2 linked regions of the Rattus norvegicus genome follow. The protein of the gene in region 1 purifies or fractionates together with the protein of each later gene. This does not show direct contact. Links are inferred from orthologs where the notes say so. Each region holds a gene or a part of one and is shown on either strand. Other genes may lie near its edges.

Region 1 (3,820 bases):
CAAAGGCTGAAAAATTAGCATATATCTATACTGGAGATGTAGAGAATGACAGGAAAGTTGTTTGGGTGACTAAAAGAAACAGGAATGCACAACAAATTGAAAGAATTGGATTTTTTCAATATTCCTGGAAAATACACATGTAAAGCAGCAATAACAAAAATTAATATTAGTAACAACAAAAAAATCCCATTAAAGCTAAAGAATAAGACTTTAAACATATTGTGAAGCAAAAAATAATAATTATAGTCATAAAACTCCAAAGTCTGGTACTATCCCTAATATTTTCCAAAAATCAACCATGCTTGGGAAAACAATGTGGTAATACACTAATGTTCATACTAGAGACAAAGACAGTAATTTGGTTTCCCATATCTCACATCAATACACATGAATACAAACATATATGTGCATGTTATTTTTATGTAACATATAGCACATAATACAAACATACAAGCACAATAGCATATTCTACTATCTCTCTTAATGTAATTAATACATTACATTAAAAAGTGATTTCTTTGTCTAAATATAGAAAGAAATGAAGCCTTTATATACATATACATATAGAAAATGGTTTTGTCATGTAAAATCACTATAATCATCAATTCTGCTTAAATACTGTACAGGAAGTAAAGAAGAAAACTATGTCTGGAATAAGCTAAGCAAGTTGATAAGAAAGTACAGAAAGAAGAAATATTACATTCTTCATCTTTACACACTACGACTCATCACTACCCAAATCAAGAGCAAAATTTCACACTCACTCAAGTAACCTACAAATCCTTACTTATTATGTCCATTAACATAATTAACGATTACATAATTATCGATTTATAAATAAATTTAAAATATTAAATTTAGAATAACAGGCACAGATTTTAAAGTAACTTTGTAATTTCCTGAAAAGAATTCTTTGTTCCACAGAGCTTATGAAAATCCATTCTCAATTCCTTACAAGATATATGATTTACCTTTCTGGAGAACAACTATATCTTCTTTATTCAATCTACAAAGCTTCAAATGAATCTGAAACACTCCTAACTGAAATTCTGAAATGGACAAAGTTCACTTTTGTGCATATGAAATAACTTCTGACTAGTACATAATAGTTAAAAAGTAAACAATATTATTCTGTTATAATTTCATTACTTGCCTATAAAGCACTGTAGGAAGAGAGGATGTCTTTTGTGTGCCTCCTTCTTTTTTACTTGGTTTTCTTTCCTTAGGTGCTCGTAAGATTGCCGGTACATTCAGCTTCTATAGAGTGAATAAATGTCGTACATGCTGTTTGAAAGGTGAGTACAAAGCAGTATTTTCCCCCTACTTGTCTCTAAATCTAACTAAGTAAGCTAGCATTCAGAGAGGGAAATCTGCTTTAAATTAGTAAAGGGAAAACGAATTGCTGATCTCAACTACTTCTATGATAAAGCTACAACTTCATGGGCTCATTAGTTCTCAGAAATACATTAAACTTTATGAAAATTATACTACTTTCACTTGAATACCTTAGAACAATGAGAAAAGTAGAGGAGGCTTAAGAATCTAACACAGTATACTTAGAAAACAACAAAAAACCACCAGTACACTTCTTTGCAACATCCCAGCTATACTGGTGTTCCATAGGTTAATTACAAAAATTATCTTATTGGACCAAACACTATAAAAAAGATGAAATTCTCTTTGGTACTCTTCTAATCTGTAGTATGCTGGCTTCTAAGACAGAACATCTATCAAAGTCACTTCTTAGTGCCCTGGTGAGCTCCCATCTGTTCAGCCAATGGGAACAGTATCGTGCACGTGATACACATGTCTGTGCAGACCGTCTACACACAATGCAATTTTCAGCCCTCTATGAAGTTACCTAATAAATGGAAATGTCTTTTATAGCAGATAATATTTTAAACTATAGAGGAGGCTTTTGTTGAGAAAAATATAAACCCAGCCAAAACAAAAGCTAGAAGAGCAAGTGACCTCTTACACTCCAAATATCCTTTCCGAAATATCAATATAAAATACCATAATCTTCCAAAAATCTACAAACTACTTATTAGTAGGAAAAAAGAGTACATATGTCCAAAAGCGACTCCTCATCTTCACCTTTTAACATCAATTACTCTTTGCAGTACCAGTGACATGCAATCTGTTCATAAAAGAAGGTTATGGGAAAGAAAAATTGTGACAAAAAATCTAATACCACTGAATAAAGAATATACTAAGAGGAAACCATGATTCCTGTCTTAACTCATCAAAAGTCACAGGCCAATCAATATTAATAAAATAACCCACCAACAAGACAGCTGATAAAAGAACCAAGCTAGGTTATAGGTTCTCAGTAGGCAGTGACTACAAGTGGTCTGCAAGCATTTCAGACAGAAATCATTACCCTAGGGGATTAGGCTCTGAAGGAACTGAATTATTTAGTTAGCAAAGTGACTTTTTGTAAGAAATTATGTATACACACACACACACACACACACACACACACACACTGAAAAAATCACAAAGAGAGCAAGAATTGAAGAAAGCAACTGAAAAGAAACTAACCTGCCCTGTAATTCGGCCAAGTAAGGCCCATATTCCTTGTCCTTCACTTCGAAGTTTCCCATTAAGATTTTGCAGTTCCTCTAACGATTCACAGAGCTACAAAAAGAGTAAGTCAAATTAGGAAGCTTTTATTGTGCAAATATAAATAAACAAGAACATTCACACTTATTTTCCATTTAGTCTAATATATTCAGATCAGATAACTACAAAGACAAAGATAATTATGACTAGCATGGTGAACATCCTCAGAAGATAAACACTTTCTTCTCTCCTACAGGTTTTAGTTCTGATGCATACATATATAGTTTGGCAAATCATATGACACATTATTTTGCTATCAAACCACATTTCCATTACTTCTCTTATAAGAAAACTAAAAATCCCCAAGGTTCTTCTGGTTAAGACCATAGAACTACCAAAAGTCTGCAGACCTTGTGACCTTATTCCCTATAGCCTTTTCAGTACAATGTTGTTGATTACTAATTACATCACTTTAAATGGTTGGGTTTTTTTTTTTTGAACAATAATTAGATACTAGTTTAAATATTCATGCTACTTAGAACCTAAGGAAACATTTATTAATCAAAATAGCATATCATTTTTAAAAGTCGAGTACTTTAGGACTGGGTTTTCTTATTTTCAACAAATGAAAGAAGAAGATCTGTAATGCTGTTTACATTTAAGAATAAGGAATGAGGTTAGCTGTGTTAGTTTTAAACCCCAGCTCTTAGTCTTGATTACTATGTTGCCATGAGCAAATTATATAATGTCTTCAATCCTTAGCGCCCACCTCTAAGAAGAGAAGCAATAGCGGCCACTGACACTAAGGACAAGGAGAGAACTACATGACTTTCTGTGTGTGAAGGAATCACAGCTGTGCCTGGTATAAGAATGCACTCAGTGGGGGTTGGGGATTTAGCTCAGTGGTAGAGCGCTTGCCTAGCAAGCACAAGGCCCTGGGTTCAGTCCCCATCTCCAGAAAAAAAAAAAGAATAGAAAAAAAAAAGAATGCATTCAGTGAGAATGACAGTAATGAAAATGATGATGAATGTTGGAAAAGAGCCTAAATTCTCTAGAATTTCAAACTGAAACACAGAAATACAATAAAATCACAAAAGAACTATAAACAAGATCTACCACATAAGACTGAGCATTTGTAGCCAACGTACCTTATTATATTCTACATGAAGCTTTTCTTGCTCATTCTCTAATTTATCCTTTATATTCTTTTGTTCAGCCATATTTTCCTGAATTTGAATCATGCGCATATTTCTCT
Region 2 (3,634 bases), on another chromosome or scaffold:
GCAGCGCTGTCACCTTCTCCATTCGTTACCAGCTCGTCCGACTCTTCTATGATGTCTGAGCTCCCTGACGACTGCCCTTTACCACACAGTCTCCATTGGACCTCAGCCAGGACCCACCTCTGTCCGCTCCGACCGCCTTCTGGTCCAGGCTCAGCTTCTGCCGTCATCTGTGACTACTGACATCCTGGATGGACTCCTTAGTGGACTTGACGTCCACTAGTTGGACTTTGCCTATGCTTTCTTGAGTTTGCTACTCCCTCCCTTTCTGCAGCCTCACCAGGTGGGCCTGTAGCATCTTTTATGCAAATATTCATGGCTCAACTTTCAGAACCCTAACTCTAAAGGAATCCCCTGGGCCTTGAGAGAGAACCTGGGCTAGGGCTAGAGTTAGGGCAACATACTCCAAGGTAACCTCACATCTGACTATCAAATTAAGTGTTCTGATTAGGAAGAGCAGAGGCAGGGCCATGTGCTCAGAATGGTGACAATAAAGGATTGCCTTTTACTTGTTCCTCTAGGTGTAGCCACTCCTTCCTCCTTTCTTTTTAACCTTTGAGGTTCTTATTGAACCCTAGGGCATCCTTATACTTAAATGCTCTACCACTGAACTATATCCCAAGCTCGACATATTTATTTTTTTATATAGGCATTTTAGAATAGATTGAAAGGATTAGAGTGGGTACCTTTTCCAATAGGATCCCTACCCCTGCTCCCCTCAGACCCTTTCTTGTAAGAGAGGTCTGTCACATACTGAGACCAGACAGAACATATCAAATAAATATTACAGCACAAACTTGTGATAGCATAATGGATAACGGTGCTCCGTTTTCTGGCACAGGATTAAACTCTCAGAAGGTTTCATTTCTTTCATTTTAAACCCTCCCTTTTCAGCCAAGCCTTTAATCCCAGCACAAGGGAGGCAGAGGCAGGCGGATCTCTGAGTTCCGGGGCACCAAGGGCTAATCAGAGAAACCCTGTCTCATTAAAATAAAAGCCAGATGGTGGTGGTGCACGCCTTTAATCCCAGCGCTTGGGAAGCTGAGGCAGGCAGATCTCAGAATTCGCAGCCAGCCTGGTCTACAGAGAGATCCAGGACATCCAGAGTTACACAGAAAAACCCTGTCTCGAAAACCCAAAAATAATAATAAAGAACAAGCAAATAAATAAACCCTTCCCTTTGCCAGATTAGAGGAGGGAGTAGGAAGTGCCCTAACCTGGAAGGAGAAAGGTGCTTACAGTGAAGACCCTTTTCCTTTAAAACCACAGGCCGGCTCAGATTTCCCAGAAACCATAGAGGTAGCTCCAAGCTCCACCCTTCTAGTCTTCGGGTTTGTGGGCGCGCCGTAGCGTTTAAATTTCGCGCGCTCTATACTGATTGGCCATTTCCAAGGGTGATTCGCCTCTGGCTTGCAGCCACTCCGCCTTGTCTTCTTCCCCGGGTAAAAGGTTTTCAAATTGGACCAATCGCTGAGCGCGTTCTCTCGGCTATGGCGCGTCACCGAAGGGTTAATTGCAACCAACCAGAGGTGGGTATTAAAAAAAGAACCAATTAGGCGGAAGCGGGGGCGTGTCCAGAGAGTTTATAAGGGCGAGCTTGCCCGCGCGAGGCGACAGTTGACTGCGGCGGTTGGCGGTTTGTCTCCTGGCGTTTTTCTCAGCCCTTCTACCTCGCACACGATGTCGGGTCGCGGCAAGACCGGCGGCAAGGCCCGCGCCAAAGCCAAGTCGCGCTCTTCGCGCGCCGGCCTTCAGTTCCCGGTAGGCCGCGTGCACCGACTGCTGCGGAAAGGCCATTACGCCGAGCGCGTGGGCGCAGGCGCGCCCGTGTACCTGGCGGCGGTGCTCGAGTACCTCACTGCCGAGATCCTGGAGCTGGCGGGCAACGCGGCTCGGGACAACAAGAAGACGCGCATTATCCCGCGCCACCTGCAGCTGGCTATCCGCAACGACGAGGAGCTCAACAAGCTGCTGGGCGGCGTGACTATCGCGCAGGGCGGCGTCCTGCCCAACATCCAGGCCGTGCTGCTGCCCAAGAAGACCAGCGCCACCGTGGGGCCCAAGGCGCCGGCGGGCGGCAAGAAGGCCTCCCAGGCCTCTCAGGAGTACTGAGGGAGCCCGCGCCGCGGCTGCCCAGCCCTCCCCCACCTCCACAAAGGCCCTTTTAAGGGCCACCACCTCCCTCACAGAAAGAGCTGAGCCACTTCGGGCTCCGGCCCGCCGCGTCCCCATCCCATTCTCTCCTCTCAGTCCTCGCGTCTTTACCCTTCCCTGTGCGGCCTCCGGGTCTGCCACAGGACGCGGGCGCCGGGGCACCTACCCATCCCGGAGCTCGTGACATCGCTTCGCCGTTCTCAGTCGTCGACGGGCTGTGCGGAGAGGTTGCGGCACCTTCCACCTTCCAGAAATCTCGGCCCTTTGCTATGACGTACGGCCGAGGTGGGCTTGAAGGTTAGTTAACCACCACCACCACCCCCCCCCCCCGCAGCTACAACCCCAGCGTTTTCAGCTTGGTGCTTAGCCCTCTCCTGGACCTTTCAGAAGTGAGTTGATTGCCGGACTTTGGTGAGAAGCGGATCATACTGTTTCACTCTGTGTCCCCCTTACTGGCCTCTCAAACCAGTTGACCCTGTCGTCATTTGTAGGCCGGCATGTTATAACGTGAAGCCAATTTTTCCAAGATAAACTGGAAAGGGTCAGGGAACGCCTATTGGCCTGTGGACAGAAGAATTGTATACCTGCCGCAGAAGACTAGAGGAGCCGGGCCTAGCTATCCCTCTCCCTTAACTCAAACTACAACCCAAACACCCAGATACCAGCACAAGTCGGTGAATCCCTGTCTGGACTGAGCCTCTGGCTTCTGAACTGGAACTTTTGCAGCTATTACAAGTTTAGAACCTTAAGAAGTGGGGAGATTCAATGGGCTAATTTTATTAAAGGATCGTTTTTGGTTTGTTTTTTTTTTTTAAACGGAGTGTCTGATTTAATTTTGAATGCCTAACTTAACTTTGAATGCTGTAGTCCCAGGGCTGGACATTTACAGCTCCATAGTCGAGGAGCCATGTGCCCAGAACATCTCGTGGGAGGGAGTGGGACTAGAGGATAAACTTACCTTCCTTTCTGCAGGCACTGGGAATGAAAGGCTATGTGAAGATCCTGTTAACTAAAGACAGGCAGGCTGTAGGGATGAAGGCTAGTTTCTTTGCTTGGTTGAGAATGATCAGGATGTTTTACAACAGAAAGGTCCCAGACTCAGAATTCAGGTTTAAAAGGGCTTTGGGTTTATTCATATCTTCCCCCAACTCCAGGAGAACCACATTCTGAACTGATTAGTGGCATTGGTTACATTAAAAGATTGGCATGGACTTTCTCTAAAGAGATGAAGCCCACAAACTACTGAGGGAAAGGCAGTCATGGAGGCCCCAAGTTGAGGCATATCTTCCAAGGCCGAAGTCTCAACAACTCTGGTTCAATCTCCTGGGATAATCATTCCCCTTGTTAAGGAGCACAGGGCACTTGACAGCCAGACATAGGCACTGGAGTGACAGCTGGGGTTCGGTTCCTGTGCCCTGCAGGCCAGTTAGCGCACATCATTAAGCTGCCGTGCAACATCTAGGATGTTCTTAGCTCCTTTGTT

Evidence for each region.
Region 2: the proteins of Phf14 (region 1) and H2ax purify together in Homo sapiens (affinity purification with mass spectrometry; 3 studies listed by BioGRID and IntAct, counting the BioPlex papers as one, with this or other methods). This does not show direct contact. The link is inferred for Rattus norvegicus from reciprocal best matches to the Homo sapiens genes PHF14 and H2AX.

Annotation. Positions count from the first base shown.
Region 1 is NC_086022.1:41,041,752-41,045,571, reverse strand, and holds part of Phf14 (PHD finger protein 14), read right to left. Parts: coding exon 3,714-3,820; intron 2,641-3,713; coding exon 2,545-2,640; intron 1,258-2,544; coding exon 1,154-1,257; intron 1-1,153. UniProt on the Homo sapiens protein: Histone-binding protein. Binds preferentially to unmodified histone H3 but can also bind to a lesser extent to histone H3 trimethylated at 'Lys-9' (H3K9me3) as well as to histone H3 monomethylated at 'Lys-27' (H3K27ac) and trimethylated at 'Lys-27' (H3K27me3).
Region 2 is NC_086026.1:53,567,109-53,570,742, forward strand, and holds H2ax (H2A.X variant histone), read left to right. Parts: upstream 1-1,609; 5' UTR 1,610-1,677; coding exon 1,678-2,109; 3' UTR 2,110-2,964; downstream 2,965-3,634. Other genes in the region: Dpagt1 (UDP-N-acetylglucosamine--dolichyl-phosphate N-acetylglucosaminephosphotransferase), read left to right, coding at 1-59; Hmbs (porphobilinogen deaminase), read right to left, coding at 3,578-3,634. UniProt on the Homo sapiens protein: Variant histone H2A which replaces conventional H2A in a subset of nucleosomes. Nucleosomes wrap and compact DNA into chromatin, limiting DNA accessibility to the cellular machineries which require DNA as a template.